2 linked regions of the Oryctolagus cuniculus genome follow. The protein of the gene in region 1 purifies or fractionates together with the protein of each later gene. This does not show direct contact. Links are inferred from orthologs where the notes say so. Each region holds a gene or a part of one and is shown on either strand. Other genes may lie near its edges.

The links.
Region 2: the proteins of GTF2H4 (region 1) and MNAT1 purify together in Homo sapiens (co-immunoprecipitation; 3 studies listed by BioGRID and IntAct, with this or other methods). This does not show direct contact. The link is inferred for Oryctolagus cuniculus from reciprocal best matches to the Homo sapiens genes GTF2H4 and MNAT1.

Annotation. Positions count from the first base shown.
Region 1 is NC_091436.1:139,556,898-139,561,419, forward strand, and holds the start of GTF2H4 (general transcription factor IIH subunit 4), read right to left. Parts: upstream 2,830-4,522; 5' UTR 2,609-2,829; intron 1,999-2,608; 5' UTR 1,996-1,998; coding exon 1,856-1,995; intron 1,559-1,855; coding exon 1,454-1,558; intron 831-1,453; coding exon 699-830; intron 390-698; coding exon 293-389; intron 200-292; coding exon 111-199; intron 1-110. UniProt on the Homo sapiens protein: Component of the general transcription and DNA repair factor IIH (TFIIH) core complex, which is involved in general and transcription-coupled nucleotide excision repair (NER) of damaged DNA and, when complexed to CAK, in RNA transcription by RNA polymerase II.
Region 2 is NC_091451.1:9,614,715-9,617,696, forward strand, and holds the end of MNAT1 (CDK-activating kinase assembly factor MAT1), read right to left. Parts: intron 1,131-2,982; coding exon 1,010-1,130; 3' UTR 669-1,009; downstream 1-668.

The sequences.
Region 1 (4,522 bases):
CTCTGCTTTTGCAGTCAACTCCCTCGAACCTGGTCCCACTCCAGACACCATTTACCAAGGACCCAAAGAGACGGCAGAGCAGGGAGTCGCGTTACCTCCAGCTTGCTCACCTCTTCATGAGCCCAGCCTGACTGAGGAGCTGGGCCAAGTCCTGGCTGACGGCCGCACTCGGGGAGCCCACCATGAAGTGCAAGACCACCTGCAGAGCAGAAGACAACACAGAGGCTGATGCCTCTGCGAGCCACAGATGCAGCGGCGCGAGCGCAGAACCGCAGAACCCCAGGGGCCTCACCTCCCATCGCTCCTCTGCGTACTTGTCGAGGGAGGGGACATCCCGGGCATGCTTGTCGGGTCCCAGCTGACTTGTGTCATCAGACCAGGCCTTCCCCCTAAGGCCAGGACGCACCAAGAGGTGAGGAACCTTGGCTCTGTTCCCTGCTGCCTGTCTGCCCCCTCTCCACCCTTACCTCAAGGGCCATGCATAGGGGACACTTCCTACACCATGCAGCTGTATCTGATTCAACTTCTCCCTAAAGGAGTTCTCAAAGGTGGGCCCCGCAAGGCTCCAAGGAGCCCCACTCCCCGCCAGGAGTCTCCTCTCCCCTCCAGGAGTTCCCTCTCCCCCCAGGAGCTCCCCCTCCGGCAGCTGAACTACCTGTCCCCCTGGGCTGGCTTAGGAAGAGATGGAAGTGACATACCCACCGAGAAGGGCGACGCGGAGGTTCTGGCGGAAGACGGGGTTGAGGATGAGGCCCTGGAGGCCTCCAGGGAGCAGCTGGGTGTGCCAGATCCGGAGGCCGCTCAGCAGCCCCGTACTTTGCTCCTGAGCCCTGGAACAGAAGCCGAGATGAGTGCTAAGTGGGTGTCCCGAGAACAAAACGAAGGAGGCCCACACAGGCTCCACTTCTGCCTCTTCCGAACCATTTCAGAGTGAAGTCACTGTCTCCTAAACACAAATTTCTTCCTTTTTAAAAAAAGATTTATTTATTTATTTGAAAGGCAAAGATACAGAGAGGCAGAAGCAGAGACAGAGACAGATCTTCCATCCGCTGGTTCACTCCCCAGATGGCCTCAATGGCCAGAACTGGGCCAATCTGAAGCCAGGAGCCAGGCGCTTCTTCCGGGTCTCCCACGTGGGTGCAGGGGCCCAAGCGCTTGGGCCGTCTTCCACTGTTTTCCCAGGCCATAGCAGAGAGCTGGATCGGAAGTGGAGCCCACATGGGATGCCGGCACTGCAGGCGGTGGCTTTACCCACTACGCCACAGAGCCAGCCCCTAAACACAAATTTCAGAACCTTGCTACAGACATCACAACTCTCCAAGAAGGAAGACACAGCATGCAAGCTTTGTGGTGTACCTATTAGTATTTCCTGAGAGTGTGCCAAAGAACAGCAGTTTGAGAAATCTAGCTGCTGAGAAATTTGTATCTGGCTGAGAGTGCCGTCGAGACTCACTTGCTGAACTCCTTCTTCACCCACAGGGCTACGGCAGCTTGCGGCAAAGGCTGCTCCAGAAAGAGCATCCGCATCACCCAGTTCTTAGCCAAAGATGGGAGCTCTCTGCAGAGGGTAGAGGTCAGAAATCAAAACCAGAAGCTGCCTTCTATCTCTATCTCTGCCTGACATGCCTCTCAAACATCTCATCTCACCAGAAACACACACACACACACACACACACACACGTATCTTAACCAGTCCTGCTGTCCCCAGAACCCCCATCTGTTCCATCTGCATCAATTTGGAGTAATTCCCAAGCCGTGCCAGGCTGCTACGGTTCTGCCCAGGATAACTCATTGCCGTCTGCCAGCCCTACCACATTTCTCCACCACAGTTGCTGCCGTGAAGGGAACTCCTCACCTGAAGACAGCCAGACAGGTGGCAGGGTGCCCATACAATCGATCCAAAACCCCAGGGCTTAGGCTCCCTAAGAATTCCTGCAGATTCCTGCATTGTAGATGCACCCGGTTCAGTCCACCCCTAGAAGGGGTACTCTCCATCACCTGAGAGACAAGTGTTAGCCGCACACCCCCGCGATCCACACCAGGGTCACCCCTGACCTCTGACTCCAGATCCATCAGTCCCCACAGTAATACCCGTGGTGTCCGTTCCCAGGTCATTTATCTCCTGCTGTCTCTCCAAACCTGACCAGCCTCCCCTCTTTCCTGCCTCCTCATCCCACTTCTGCCCACCACTCCAGACTTCCCTCAATTTCCAAGTTACTAACTGGCCTCTACTTGCAAAAATCATTTTGGTTGCAACGACCTGTCTTCTTTAGCTAAGCGGTAGCAAAGAACCTTGTCTGCGCCCACTCTCTCCCTCCGCCCCTCCTGCAGAGCAGTCTGCAAGCTCCAATTCTGTCCGTCTTCCCCATCCTCTACTTCGCACCCCTCTTCTGCGAGGTACGGCAAAACAAACCTCTGCTCTCCACGCTGCTCAAATCCAGACCCACCACTTCCACCTCCCCCAAGTCTACCTCACTGCGTCCACCCCGATCCACACCGTCCCATCCCCTAACTTCTCCCCGACTTCTTCTCCCCGACTTTTCTGCCACTCCCCACCCCTCTCTGCTCTCTTCTACCTCCGTCTACCCGCCCTCCCGGGCCCGCTCACCACTCTGTGCCGACCCCCCTCACTCGCCCCGAGTCTCCAGCCGTCACTTAAACGGAGCCGATGTCCCGGAGATGGGGGAAAGGATGGTCAGGAAATGAGAGAAAAAGATGGAGAGCAACGAGGGATTTCACAGCAGCCCAGAATGGGGAAAACAGAAGAGAAGGAAAGGAAGAGGAGTGGAAAAGTGGGGAGGATGAAAATAGGCGCTGCACTCGGGGGCCGCGGGGCGTACTGGGAGTTGGAGTCCTGTCCCTACGCACCTCGGAGCAAACTGAAGCTATTCTGACTACAACTCCCGAAAGGCAGCGCGAGGAAGCCGGGCGGAGACAAGCTGGCCCTTGAGCGAGCCGGGCCGCCAGAAGTCGGACCATTTTGTTCCGCGCCTCTCTCCGCCCACGCTGCTAACGGCGCTTCTAAACGGCGTGGACCGAGGCGGGACCTGGAGAGAAATGCCCCGAGGGCTTCTTGGTGGAAGGGCGCCAAAAGGCAGGGTGGGGAGGCACTTGGAGAGCACAAAACTAGATTGTTTGAGGTCAGAGGTCCCCCGCGTAAGCGCTTTCGCGAGTTGACTGCTACCCCGATCCCACGCGCCTTGACTCGCGGGCATTCAACAAGTCTTAGTGTCTTTCAGCATGCTTCCAATCCCTGTTTAGTTAGAAGACCTTAATAAATAGGCTGGTTTTTTAAGATTTATTTATTTATTTGAGAAGCGGAGTCACAGAGAGAGAGAAGGAGAGATAAGGAGAGAGGTCTTCCATCTGCTGGTTCACTCCCCCAGTTGGCCACAATGGCTGGAGCTATGTTAATCCAAAGCCAGGAGCCAAGAGCTTCTTATGAGTCTCCCATATGGGTACAGGGTTCCCAAGGACTTGGACCATCTTCCACTGCTTTCCCAGGCCATAGCAGAGAGCTGGATTGGACCAGAAGCAGCTGGGACACAAACTGGCATCCATATGGGGTGCCGGCCCCTTTAATAAATAGTTTTAAACATAGCAGGTTAAGCCACGACGTGCAGTGCCGACATCCCATATGTGCGCCAGTTCCAGTCCTGGCTGCTCCACTTCCGGTCCAGGTCTCTGCTAATGTGCCTGGGCGAGCAGGGGAGCATGTGGGAGACCTGAATGAAGCTCCTGGCTCCTGGCTCCTGGCTCCTGGCTTTGGCCTGGCCCAGCCTGGGTGGTTGCGGCCATTTGGGGAGTGAATCAGCAGATGAAAGATCCCTCTCTCTCTCTCTTTTTCATATAAAGGTGCCTGAGCTCCGTACCCTTCTCTGGCTCCTGCTAAAGCAGACCATGGGACCAGGTGGTGATGGCTCAGGTACTTGGGAGACCTGGATGGGGTTCCTGACTCCAGATTTCAAACTCCCACCCCCCAAGGTCATTGAGAGCATTTGGGGGAATGAAACAGTGGGTGGAACATCTGTCTGTCTCTGCCTGTTAAACTTCAAAAATAAAAAGATAAAGCTTGGGGAGAAATGTTCGATGAAGTAGACAGAATGCAAAAGGCTCTTCCAAAGCAAAAAGACAAAAAAAAAAAAAAGATTGGCAAAAGAGATCACAAGCAATAAGCAGGAAAAATACAAAGCCTTGTGAAGAGTTGGAAAACCATGAACCGCACTAGTAGTTAAGGAAAAGTCAAAGAAACAGAACATGGGGCCAGTGCTGTGGCACAGCAGGTTAAAGCCCTGACCTGAAGCACTGGCATCCCATATGGGCACCGGTTCTAGTCCCGGCTGCTCCACCTCCAATCCAGCTCTCTGGCTTCGGATCGGCGCAGCTCCAGCTGTTGCAGCCATCTGGGGAGTGAACCAGTGGATGGAAGACCTCTCTCTGTCTCTGTTTCTACCTCTCTCTGTAACTCTGTCTTTCAAATAAATAAAATAAATTTAAAAAAAGAAAACTTCAGAAATTAAAG
Region 2 (2,982 bases), on another chromosome or scaffold:
AGATCTGATAGGAAATCCCTTAATTTCCTTGAGAAACTATGTCCCACACCCCGTGGTCTATCCAGTAGACTGAAAAGGCTGGGGTACTGCAAATATCCACCCTATCCCACATCCAAGCACTTAGCAAAACCCTGGGCATAATAAAAGCCTTTGAAGTTTCTACAGAAAACTACATCAGAGTCTACATTTCACACACAGGGAAATTTCACTTAAAATGTACCTTTTTCCAGTCCAATGTTTCATCATAAAATGTGCTCACACTGGAGGTGAAAGGTGCCATTTAAGTATTAAGTTTTATTAACTTACTTCTTTGAATCTGTCATTAAAGCAGGTTAATGCAGTGTTCTGGTCTACCCTGAATGTGCCTCACAGCTGGGAACCATAACACCTTGATCAAGGCTGGCCTCACTTTCCACTGGTCAAACAAGCATTAAGTCCTTAATACTGAGGGAGTGACATTATCACCAGTCAGGTTTTACTTGCCACAACCTGCTGGCAGAAGGAAATATATCCACTTGTCTGGCACAGTATTGAGGAGACATTAGAAAAAAAGAAAGATTTTATGAGAAGAATAATAGACTTGGATATTAACACTAAATGTTGTAATCAAAATGGCATTTTAAAATGTGTTCAAGTGAAACACTATAATAAGAGAAAAACCACAAACCTTATATAAAGTCTAGCTTTATTTTTAAAATGATTTTACAAGTCTGTCGACCTCAAACATACACAGGTGAATTATTTACTCCTCTTTTCCATCAGATGAATCTTGCTGCATAGCAATCACCCTCAGAAAAATACGAGTGAAAAAGAAATCTTTCCCACAAATATGCACGCCCTGTATTTCTCAGCTGGTTCTGCGATTCTCTCTTTATAAATAGTTTAACACAGCTGCTGGTGAGGGTGCTTTTGTGCAGCTGCATGTGGTATAGTTTTACACGTCTGCTTTACTTTGCTGGCTCCCTGGTTCAGCTCCAAGGTCCAAAGCTTATAAATGGAGAAATCCAGGTTAACTGGGCTGCCAGAAAAGCCCGCTGAATGCGTCCTGTAGGGCTCTGTGACAAGCAAGGGACGAAGTATAGCCGCCAGCGAGGTCCTGTGGAGAGGCAGCTCGGACGTGGGTTAAATACCTAGAAGAAAACAAAAGGCGGAGCGTGATGCAGATGCACACAGAGACTGGTAACATTCTTTAAAGGCGACAGTAAAACGGAGTCCAATTTTAAAAAAATTCTAAAACCAAATGTCTAGGCTTTCATAAATGGATTATTACCTCTGGGAAGGAAGTGTGCCAACTGTACATGGAGGGCCCAAGCAAGTACTGAATTACAACGGAAATTACAGCTCTGTCAGTTTCAGAAACAAAGCTTGCTATTAAAATGCCCACTGTGCCACACTTTTCAGGACTGATTTGTTTTGTTGGCTGTTGTTTGAGCAACTAACTAATGCTCTCCTTCCTGGCCTACTCTTACATACACAATACTGTGTCACCACGCTATCGCATTACTATAGTTTACATAAATGTTTTAAAGCAAACTCTTAAATAATATAAATGGCGGAGAGGACACTAGTTACTTCAAGATTATTTCAATATTCCAAAAATACACTGCTTCCTTGCAGGGAAGGAAACTTGGAAAATTACATGTCCAAGAAATCTTTGAGACTGGGCACAAGTTCAAAATAATGTCTCAAATAGTAAATACGGGAAAGTCCTGAACTGATCGTAAAACACAGTGTAATGGGCACAATTTTTCTTTGAATTCAGACTTTTGAGCAATTAAAACTTTCTATATTGACAAAACAGGCTAAAAAAATAGGATAAACCTGGCCAACGAGGGGCAGCTTCTTAGCATGACTGCCAACAAGGCCAGAAAACAAACATTCCCAGCTTTGTTTCAGTGCCTGGTGCAGAAAACCACATTGTTCCTTCAGTCGGAGGAAGTCCAGGAGCTTCACCCACCTTACAATTACAGGTATAGCAAATGAATAAATCAGGTCCCAGAACATTTTAATAAGCTGGAAACTTTTCCACTCATTCATTCAAACTTCCTGTGTGTCAACATCTTAGTGCATGAACAACTTAGTCTTTCTAACATAATAAGTCTGTTTTTCATTTGTATCCTTGTTTAATAAGCTTTTGTGATTAAAAAATATGTGCAACACAAGAGACCAAATAGAAAAAGTGGTCAAAGTAAGATACAGGCTAAGCTCCTGGAGCTGGCTATAATTTATGCACCTTGCCACAAATCAAGGTGCTAATTCAGTTCTTGGCTTCTCTGCCAAGGGTGAAAAGGGGAGAGTGGAAGGAGGAAGAGATTTAATATTCCCTGAGAAACAATTTAAAACTTTCTTGGTAGTATATTTATAGTATACTTGTACATGCATCTCTGAAACCCATACACTTATTTATAAATTATATAAAGTATTAACACGCCACATCATATACATAATATAGTAGAGTATACATGTTATAAATATATAAGTAGAACATTTAAAAGATGATAATATTTCAAGGTCTAATTCTTTCTCCTCGTAGCCCATCTTACACACCCTTGCAGGTGCATGCCATTGGTTAGTGGTCACTGTCAAGCACTTGATAGAACCTTGGCTCCCAGAGGACTTACATAAACAAGGATTCAACAAACCTACCCAAGCCAGGGTTATCTGCTTATGAGCTTCCAGGACACAATAAAATGTCAACTGTTCACATTCTGATACACGAGCAATGAGGTAAGTGTTAAGTCACCTCAGCAAGTCTAGAAATCAACCTGGCTTCACTAGGAAAGCAACATTACCGTACAAATAATATGTGAGTGGCATTTTTACAGGGGACATGGAAATGAATGTTCCATTCCTGATGTCAGTTTTCAACTAATGTTTAGCTCCACTCCAGATGATGTGATAGCACCCTCTTTTCTTTCCTCGGGCCCTCAAAAGAGAGGCACAGTCTCCACTCCAATGTCGCTCACTTGTGGCCAAGTTCAA